Linked DNA regions of Canis lupus familiaris. The protein of the gene in region 2 interacts with the protein of the main gene of each other region in a pairwise test. Links are inferred from orthologs where the notes say so. Each region holds a gene or a part of one and is shown on either strand. Other genes may lie near its edges.

Region 1 (4,183 bases), on a different chromosome or scaffold from region 2:
CAGAGGTGTAAATGCCAGAGTGGGGGATGAGAAGCTAGGAGACTGGGGGAAAAGCCAGGGCCAGAAATGGAGTGTCCCTCTCCTGTGTGTCATGCACCTAGGAACTCAACATGATAACCAGCCTCTCCTAATTCACCTTCCCTTTTAGAGTGGTGATCCATAGAGTTAGCAGGCCTTGCTGAGCTAGATACATGAAAGGGTAATAATACCAAGTACCATTATTGAGCCAGACTGGGAAGTAGGTTCAGTCACAGCTAAACCATGCAGTGTTTCAGGGAAGAGCCCAGAATCCCAGGGTTGGTCTGCACCCCACTCCTTCATCATTCATTCCTTTGGCACTGTTTCCCCAGCGAGATGGTAAACTCCCTTGAATTATCTTGTTTCCTCTCCTGTGCCTAGCATGGTGCTCCTGAAGGTTGGTGTTTAGTGAACATTTAAGCAAAACATTGAGGCAAAAATAAATGTATTATTCTGGAGCACAGCGTTTTACTCATTAAGTGATGGCAGTGACCCAATAGTTCTTTCCAAAACAAGTCTGGACTTGGGAGGAGGAAAATGCTGGTTGTGAGAGGGCAGTCCTATAGGACTGCTCCTTCCTGCCACAAAATAATTGTGCTAAATGTAAAATTATTACAAATAGGGTAATAGTTATTACTATTTTACAGTTGAAACTGAGGTTCAGGGGAATCGCACAATTTGTATATGAACTCCTGGTCTGGTCCCCAGAAAGCTGCCTCCTGCCCAAGTGGTATACAGCGTTCATTCCTGGGGTTGGGGGTACTCACTATCTCACCATCCATCATTCTGCACTGTCAGCTGGAGCACCTGCTGTGGTTTCTACACCACCTGGGGAGTGCTGGCGGTGAGAAGGCAGAGAGCAGAGTGAACATGGGTCACATTCCCTAAGAGGGAGGGGCTGGCAGGCATTTTTATGGCTCTCCTGGTGCTTGGCACTTTGCGGGGCACTGTAGCGCGAGGGTCCTCAACCCTACTCTTACAGAGGTTCCAAAGCGAAGTAACCACTCGTGGGCCGACAGCCAGTGGGAGCAGCGAGGCGGTCACCGAGGAAACGGGCTTTGCCCGGGGTCAGGGTCCTCGGCCGGAGGGTAGTGGGCGTGGACGCCAACGCCCAGTAGTGGAAGCAGGGCCAAGGCGGGCGCGAGAGCGCAAGCGCGCCGCGCGGGGGGTCCTGCGGGGCGGGGCGTTCTGGGGGCAGGGCTGGGGCTGCTGCGAGCGCGGGGGGCGGGCTCCTCCGGACAGGCTCCGCCCCACCCCCGGGGCGCGGGTTTAAAAGGAGGAAAGGAGGGCGCCGCGGCTTCGGCGGCTGCGAAGTGCACAGGGGTTGGAGGAGCGGCGAGGCTGCAGCCATGACCCTGCGGGCGGGGGGCGCTCGGCTGCTCAGCGGGCTGCTGCTCTTCGCTCTGCTCGCTGCGGCTGCCGGGGCCGCGCCGCTCAGCTGGGGTACCCCAGAGCATCGCAGCGGGGCCATCAAGATCCGAGTGCACCCGCGGGGCAACCTCTGGGCCACCGGTAAGTCTTCGGGACCCGGGCAAGCGCCCCTCACCCTGCTCTGATCCCATTTTCTTTCTCAGGCCGTTTCTCGGCCGCGGACACTCGTGTCTGCGCTGGTGAGGACCCTGGAACTTGTCTAATAGATGGAAAACTTGACACCCAGACACATCACTCAGCCAGTTAAAGCAGAGCTGGGTCTGGATCCTAGATCTGCCTGCCAGCCAGTGCCCCTTGCCTTAGGCAGGTCTACTACTGAGTCTTCCAACCTCTGGTGTGTCTTCTCTTTGCACCTCGCCTTCCAGACAATTCTTCACTCTCCACTTTCCTCCTTGCCCTTGCCTTGTCCCTCTTGTAAGCAGGCAGCACAACTGGCAGAGCTTCCCACTGGCCCTTTGCCATCTAACCTCCTTCCAGCTGTACCATCCTCTCCATCATCTCTTCCTGTTCAGGAGAAGCGGCGGTACAGGCTTTGCCACCACCCAGGGGTGTTTGTGTCTCCTTGAGGAGGAGGAGGAAGATTGATCGGGGATCTTCCCAGCATGAGAACTGAAAGTTGGGAGAGGTGGGGAACTTTCCCACTGGGATAGAATCCTTGCTCCCCAACTTCCTTGTGCCTTGGCACCACCTTTCTAGGTCACTTCATGGGCAAGAAGAGTCTGGAAACCCCCAGCCCATTCCTCTTGGGGACAGCTTCCCACGTCTCCCTGAGGGACCAGAGACTGCAGCTGAGTCATGATCTGCCCAGGATCCTCCGTCTAAAGAAAGTTCTGGGCATGAGCCTCAGTGGGCCAGCACCTCAGCCCCAGGTGAGCCAAGCTCCAACCTCAGACTCAGGAGAGGCCCAGCCAGGGCTGCTCCTGGTTCCAGCATTGGGCATAGCGTGTGACAGCCCCCCAGGGTGTGATGGGCCTCAGAAAGCCAGGGATTCCAGGCTCTCTGTGTGATCCAGAGTCAAAGGGAAAAGACTTCAAAGAAAAGAAGCTGACCTTCCCAGCAAACCTAACAGAGCAAGAAGTAGGGAGAAAGTTCCCCCTCACCCAGACCCCAGTCTAAAGTCACAGCCTAGGATTAATTAGCCAGCCTCTTGCAACGGGACCTTCTCCACACCCTCCCTGACTTGCCCCACCCCAGCTTCCACCTTTGCTGTACCTTGTTTGTACTTGTGGCTACAGCTGGGATCCTGAGGCCCAGAAAGGAGAAGAGTCAGCATCGGAGACAGAGTCAGACCTTGTTCACCTTGACCAGCACTCTTCTCAGTCACTCATCTGCCTCAGTGACCCTCACTGCAGGGTTTCTCAACCTCAGGACTCTTGACATTCAGGGCTGGAGAATTCTTTCTTGTGGGGGCTGCCCTGTGCATTGGTGGAAGTTTTATTTTTTATTTTTAAAGACTTTATTTATGAAAGAGAGAGAGAGAGAGGCAGAGACACAGGCAGAGGGAGAAGCAGGCTCCTTGCGGGGAGCCTGATGCAGGACTCTATCCCTGGACCCCAGGATCATGCCCTGAGCCAAAGATAGACACTGAACCACTGAGCCACCCAGGTGCCCTGGAGGTATAGTGTTATCCCTTGTCTCTACCCACTAGAGCATCCTCCCCACCACCACCCCATTTGTGACAATCACAAAAAACCCCAAAACAACACCAAAAGAAAGGCCTCCAGACTTCGCCAGAGCTCTTCTCGTGAGAGGGAAGGGGAGGGAGCCCAAATTACCCCTGTTTGAAACCACTGACCTATGACATTCAAGACCTGAAAGCTAGAGCTAAGCCAGCTTTAGTGTCTAGCCTGGTGGAAGGGCAGTTCCTCCATTCCCTGCTCCTGATGCTGTCCCCATCCCACACCACCTTCCCTCATACTTTGTTACTGTGCTCAGAAGGCAGGGTAGTGTGGTAGAATGTGGGTTCTGGTGACAGCATGCTAGCCTCATAACCTAGCTGTTTAGTAGTTGTGCGACTTTAAAGGCCTATCTTCCTCATGTATAAAATGGGGATGATAGCACCTATCTTGTATTAAATGAGACCATTTGTGTCATGTCTTCAGCATGATGCCTGGCACGTAGAAACCACTTAGTAAATAGGAGCTGTTGCCGGTCTGGGAGCTCCCTGGGAGCACCTGTCACAGACTCACCTTCATATCCCCCACTGTGCCCAGCATATAGTGCATGTATTTTCAAAGAAGGGAGGGGCATTTCCTAGAGATGGTCCAACGCCAGCCCCAGTCAACCTCCCGGGCCCTCCCTGTGCACAAAACCACCAGCACCTGGGGACCTCAGATATAGGGACCAGGAGCTTCGGCTAGCTGAGTCTGAAGGGAGGTGGTGTTACCCTGGAGCTGTTGGTCATGCAGACCAACTAGCGAACCTCAGAGGAAGCAGTACATACCTAGCCCGGGGGGGTGGGGCTTCACAAGTGAGGTCTGGGGCAGAGCTGGGGGTGAAGGAGTGAAAACGCTGACACTGGGCTAGATCCAGGCACATATGTGGACTTTACTTCCACGATTTCCTTGACTGTCATGACCACTCTGAAGTTGGGGCTGTCACTCTGAGATAATCGGTGCCCTGACCCTTCCCAGGCTCTTCTTCAGAGAGAAAAGTGCTGGGGTAGCCTGCCTAAGCTAAGAGCCTGCCCCTGCCTACCTCCGTGGATGCCTAGCATTCAGGAACAATGGGACAC
Region 2 (3,644 bases):
ATAATTTTACCAAAAACTCACCAAATAAGTTCTTATATAATGTAGAGTCGATTTCTTTTAAACAACTTTTGAAGATGTTGGCAGCAGAGTTTCCTTTAACTAAGACAGTATCAATCAGTTCTCTCGCTTGCAAAGGTATCTGTGTTTTTTGTTTAATGATATCATGTTCCTGTTTATTAATTACATTGGCCTTTAAAAGATTATCCAGGATAGGAAGCACACAAGTCAACTGTTGAAAAAGAGCCATTCTATTCCTCCGAATTAATGACAAATCATCTTCATTTAAAAGAAAGAAGAAAAAAAAATCCATTAGATCTTAAAGTGCTCCAACGATACTCACATAGTCACTAACAACCAAACCTACCAACAATTTAGACGCTAAATAAATAGGTGCTTGAAAAAGCACAAAATTACTTGTTTGCACTTAAATTTAATGTCTATCATTTAGAAAACTTCTGGAAGATTCAGCTAAAGCATATCATATAGTACACACAACACACAGGGTCTCTGTTGTTGTCACTTCTAAAAGTGGAGATATTTACATGTCTTAGAACCCTGCTATTCCATAGAAAGAAAGCAGAGAATTTTAAAGACCAGTAAAATAAATAAATAAATAAATAAATAAATAAATAAATAAATAAATAAACAGATAAATAAATACCAGTAAAAACCTGCCACCTCTGTACTTTCTCCCCTATGAAATTAATAATACTGACTTCTATTTGCATCATACCACTTTAGTTTTATAAGGGCTTTCGTATAAACTCCCTTATTTGATACAAAAGATCCTGTCAATTAAACAAGCAGGTAAGACTACTTCTCATTCTCAAATATGGAGGAAAAGAAACTCAGAAGATGAGTGACCTCCCCAAAGTCAGAGAAAGAATCCGTTGCAGAACCAGTGCCCTGGATGAGTGTCCTTTTCACCCTGGGCTTCACCACTTCAAGAGGAGGGGAGGACAGTAGTGGTACTCATCCCGCCAGGACAGGCCTAGGATCCCATGCCAGCCAGGCTGCTTCCTGGCCCTGTGCCCTCAGCCCTGTCACTTCCTACATCAATCTACTTAACAAAAAAATGTTTTCAGGTCTTGCACTATGCTAAAATGTTTTGTTTGCAACTTATTTAATTCTCACAGTAACCTTGTGCAATTTGTACTATGATCTCCACTTCATAGAACCGCAACCTTCATAGAACCTGTTTTCTTCTGACAGAGCCAGGATTAAAACACGAATCTGTTTCAATATCAAAATCAGACTTTGCATTTTTCTACACGACCACACAATGAGGTTCTCTTAAACCATTTCTATCATTACTTACCAGGTTCAACACAAAATGTCTTCCAGCCTGAACTCCCAATCCACACTGTCTACGCACCCCTCACCTCTGCTGGTTCTTTTGTGTACTAGACTCCACACCTCATCCACAATCCCCACAGGTAAGCACCATAGTTACCACTACAGCACAGTATCTGACAGGTGTTCACGCTCCATTTGTATTTGCTGAAGGAATGATTTCTCAAGAGACTTATTTAGGAAGTCTAAAGCTTAGCACGACCTGCATGAACACCACAATCAGCTCCCTGATTGGCTCCCCACTGTCTCTGGGCTGGGCAGGGGCTTTTCAAGCCCTAGGACTTCACCACCAGTTCCATTTTTGTATAAGGACCACTTAGCAAGGATCAGGGAGTCAAACACCATGGTAAGGATAAGATTTCAAGGAAATTTTTTAAAACACTGAAAGAAGACCTCCATTCAACTTTAAAGTCTTCCTTTCTTCTCATATATAACAATTTAAATTTGTTACATAGGAGAAGAAAAGCAATATACTTCAAGAAGTTAGGCTAAAATCCGGACTGGCATAAATCACAGATCTTGTTGGAAAATAAACATATTCTAGAAAGCTACAGTCCAGTCTGAGCACTGCCCACAGTGCAGAAGGGGATGTGTGTCGGAGGCTCCTGGCACTGCTGCCAGGAGTTAGTGGACAGATGCTGGTGCTCCTGCAACGGGTCATCCAGTCCCGTGACCCTCACGGAAATAGGGCGGGTAATTAACATTCCCAAGTACCTGATGCCATTTCTTCAGTTTGTCTTTCCTTCTCTTCCTCCCGGGTCTCATCTTCAGCATTAAGAAGTGCTAACACAATCTCATTAACTGTTCTGTAGTTCTCCCCAGTGCTCAGGATCTTACTCTGCACGGTCTGCCTCACCAGGATCCTACTGAAGCCCATCTCCAAGGCGGCCTTCACCACCGGGGTGTTCATCATGACTGTGTCTTCTGAATGGTTTTCTCCAGGTCCAAAATGGACAACTATTTGAAAAGACATGTACCAATGTTAAATCCCACAAATGTAAAACTACAGAGAAAAATGATGACTATGGCACAATCTTTCCTCTCCTGCTGCTCATATCCTGGTATGGCACATAAGCTTTATGCACCAATTACCTATAATTCCAACAAAAGTATGAATGCAAGAGGATCAAATAAGAATGTAAAAATATGCTATCCTTTTTTAAAATTCCACTTCCCACACTACACCCTGGAACCTACTTAATGAGCGACTCAAAGCACAGGGCTTAGGAATCCATGTTTTTTTTTAAATTTCTGAAATGATTCCAACATATGGTCATTTTCAGGAACCAATATGCTACACAACTGTAGGAATGCTACAAGAAAGCAGGGAAACCAACAAAGACTTCATTAAAGGTGGCGTCAGAGTCTGGACTTGCCAGGATACATGAGATCTAGAGAGGTGGACAGATAAATCCGAGAGTAACATAGATGTAAGGAGAGTTAAGACTAGTTCATGCAAAATATGTCTAACGACATAAAAATATGACTGAAGAAGTCATTTGATTTCAGACCATGATATAAAGAAAATCAAGCTGTGAAAAGTGATTAAAATAACCCAGGAGGGAAGAAAACAACTGACATGGTGGAGCAGGGAAGCACTTCCTAGAAACAGAGTCAGCACTGACCAACTTGACACTTTGGTGGAAATGACAAGAAAACATCATTCTACATGATGCATGACAGCCACCTGCTGGCAAAGTGTTCTAATAATCATGTCTCTCCAAAGCCGCCTGCAGGTGGTCTCACACACACACATACACACACACACACACACACACACACACACACACACACACACACACACAGAAAGCCAGTCTGAAGTGGCAACATCAGAACAAGCATGTGAATGAATAAAGAGGAGTTATGGGAGTATCTCAAAGAAATCCTGACACATTCAAGAACTAGAGACACAATGGTGAAAGGCACCCAGAGATGAGGATGATCCCCAGATCTCATAGTAAAGCCTCGCCAGCTTATCTTTTACTCTACATGTACTAGAATGTTTTCTATACATCTTAAGTGAAGGATGTTAAGACCGGATTTGTTTTCTCAGATGATGATTCTGGCAGCTCTGTGATAAACTTTAATGAGCTAAGATGGAATGAGGAGACCCGCCAGGAAAGCACGACAGTGATGGCAGTTTGCACTAGGCTGATAGTGCCAGATGGACATGGAGAGAGGCACGCAGATTCAGGCATGTGAGGAAGGCAGGGATGAAAGGACAGCCAACAGATGGAACACACAAAGAGGAGCTCGGGTGACACCCAACTTGAGTCAACTTTCTGACCTCA

The links. The genes of interacting proteins can lie anywhere in the genome.
Region 1: the proteins of BIRC2 (region 2) and NMB interact in binary tests that used the Homo sapiens proteins (3 or more experiments, as listed by UniProt). The two-hybrid records come from large-scale screens. The link is inferred for Canis lupus familiaris from reciprocal best matches to the Homo sapiens genes BIRC2 and NMB.

Annotation. Positions count from the first base shown.
Region 1 is NC_049224.1:54,417,343-54,421,525, reverse strand, and holds the start of NMB (neuromedin-B), read left to right. Parts: upstream 1-1,257; 5' UTR 1,258-1,367; coding exon 1,368-1,530; intron 1,531-2,145; coding exon 2,146-2,318; intron 2,319-4,183. UniProt on the Homo sapiens protein: Stimulates smooth muscle contraction. Induces sighing by acting directly on the pre-Botzinger complex, a cluster of several thousand neurons in the ventrolateral medulla responsible for inspiration during respiratory activity.
Region 2 is NC_049226.1:29,437,017-29,440,660, forward strand, and holds part of BIRC2 (baculoviral IAP repeat-containing protein 2), read right to left. Parts: intron 2,311-3,644; coding exon 2,068-2,310; intron 277-2,067; coding exon 22-276; intron 1-21. UniProt on the Homo sapiens protein: Multi-functional protein which regulates not only caspases and apoptosis, but also modulates inflammatory signaling and immunity, mitogenic kinase signaling, and cell proliferation, as well as cell invasion and metastasis.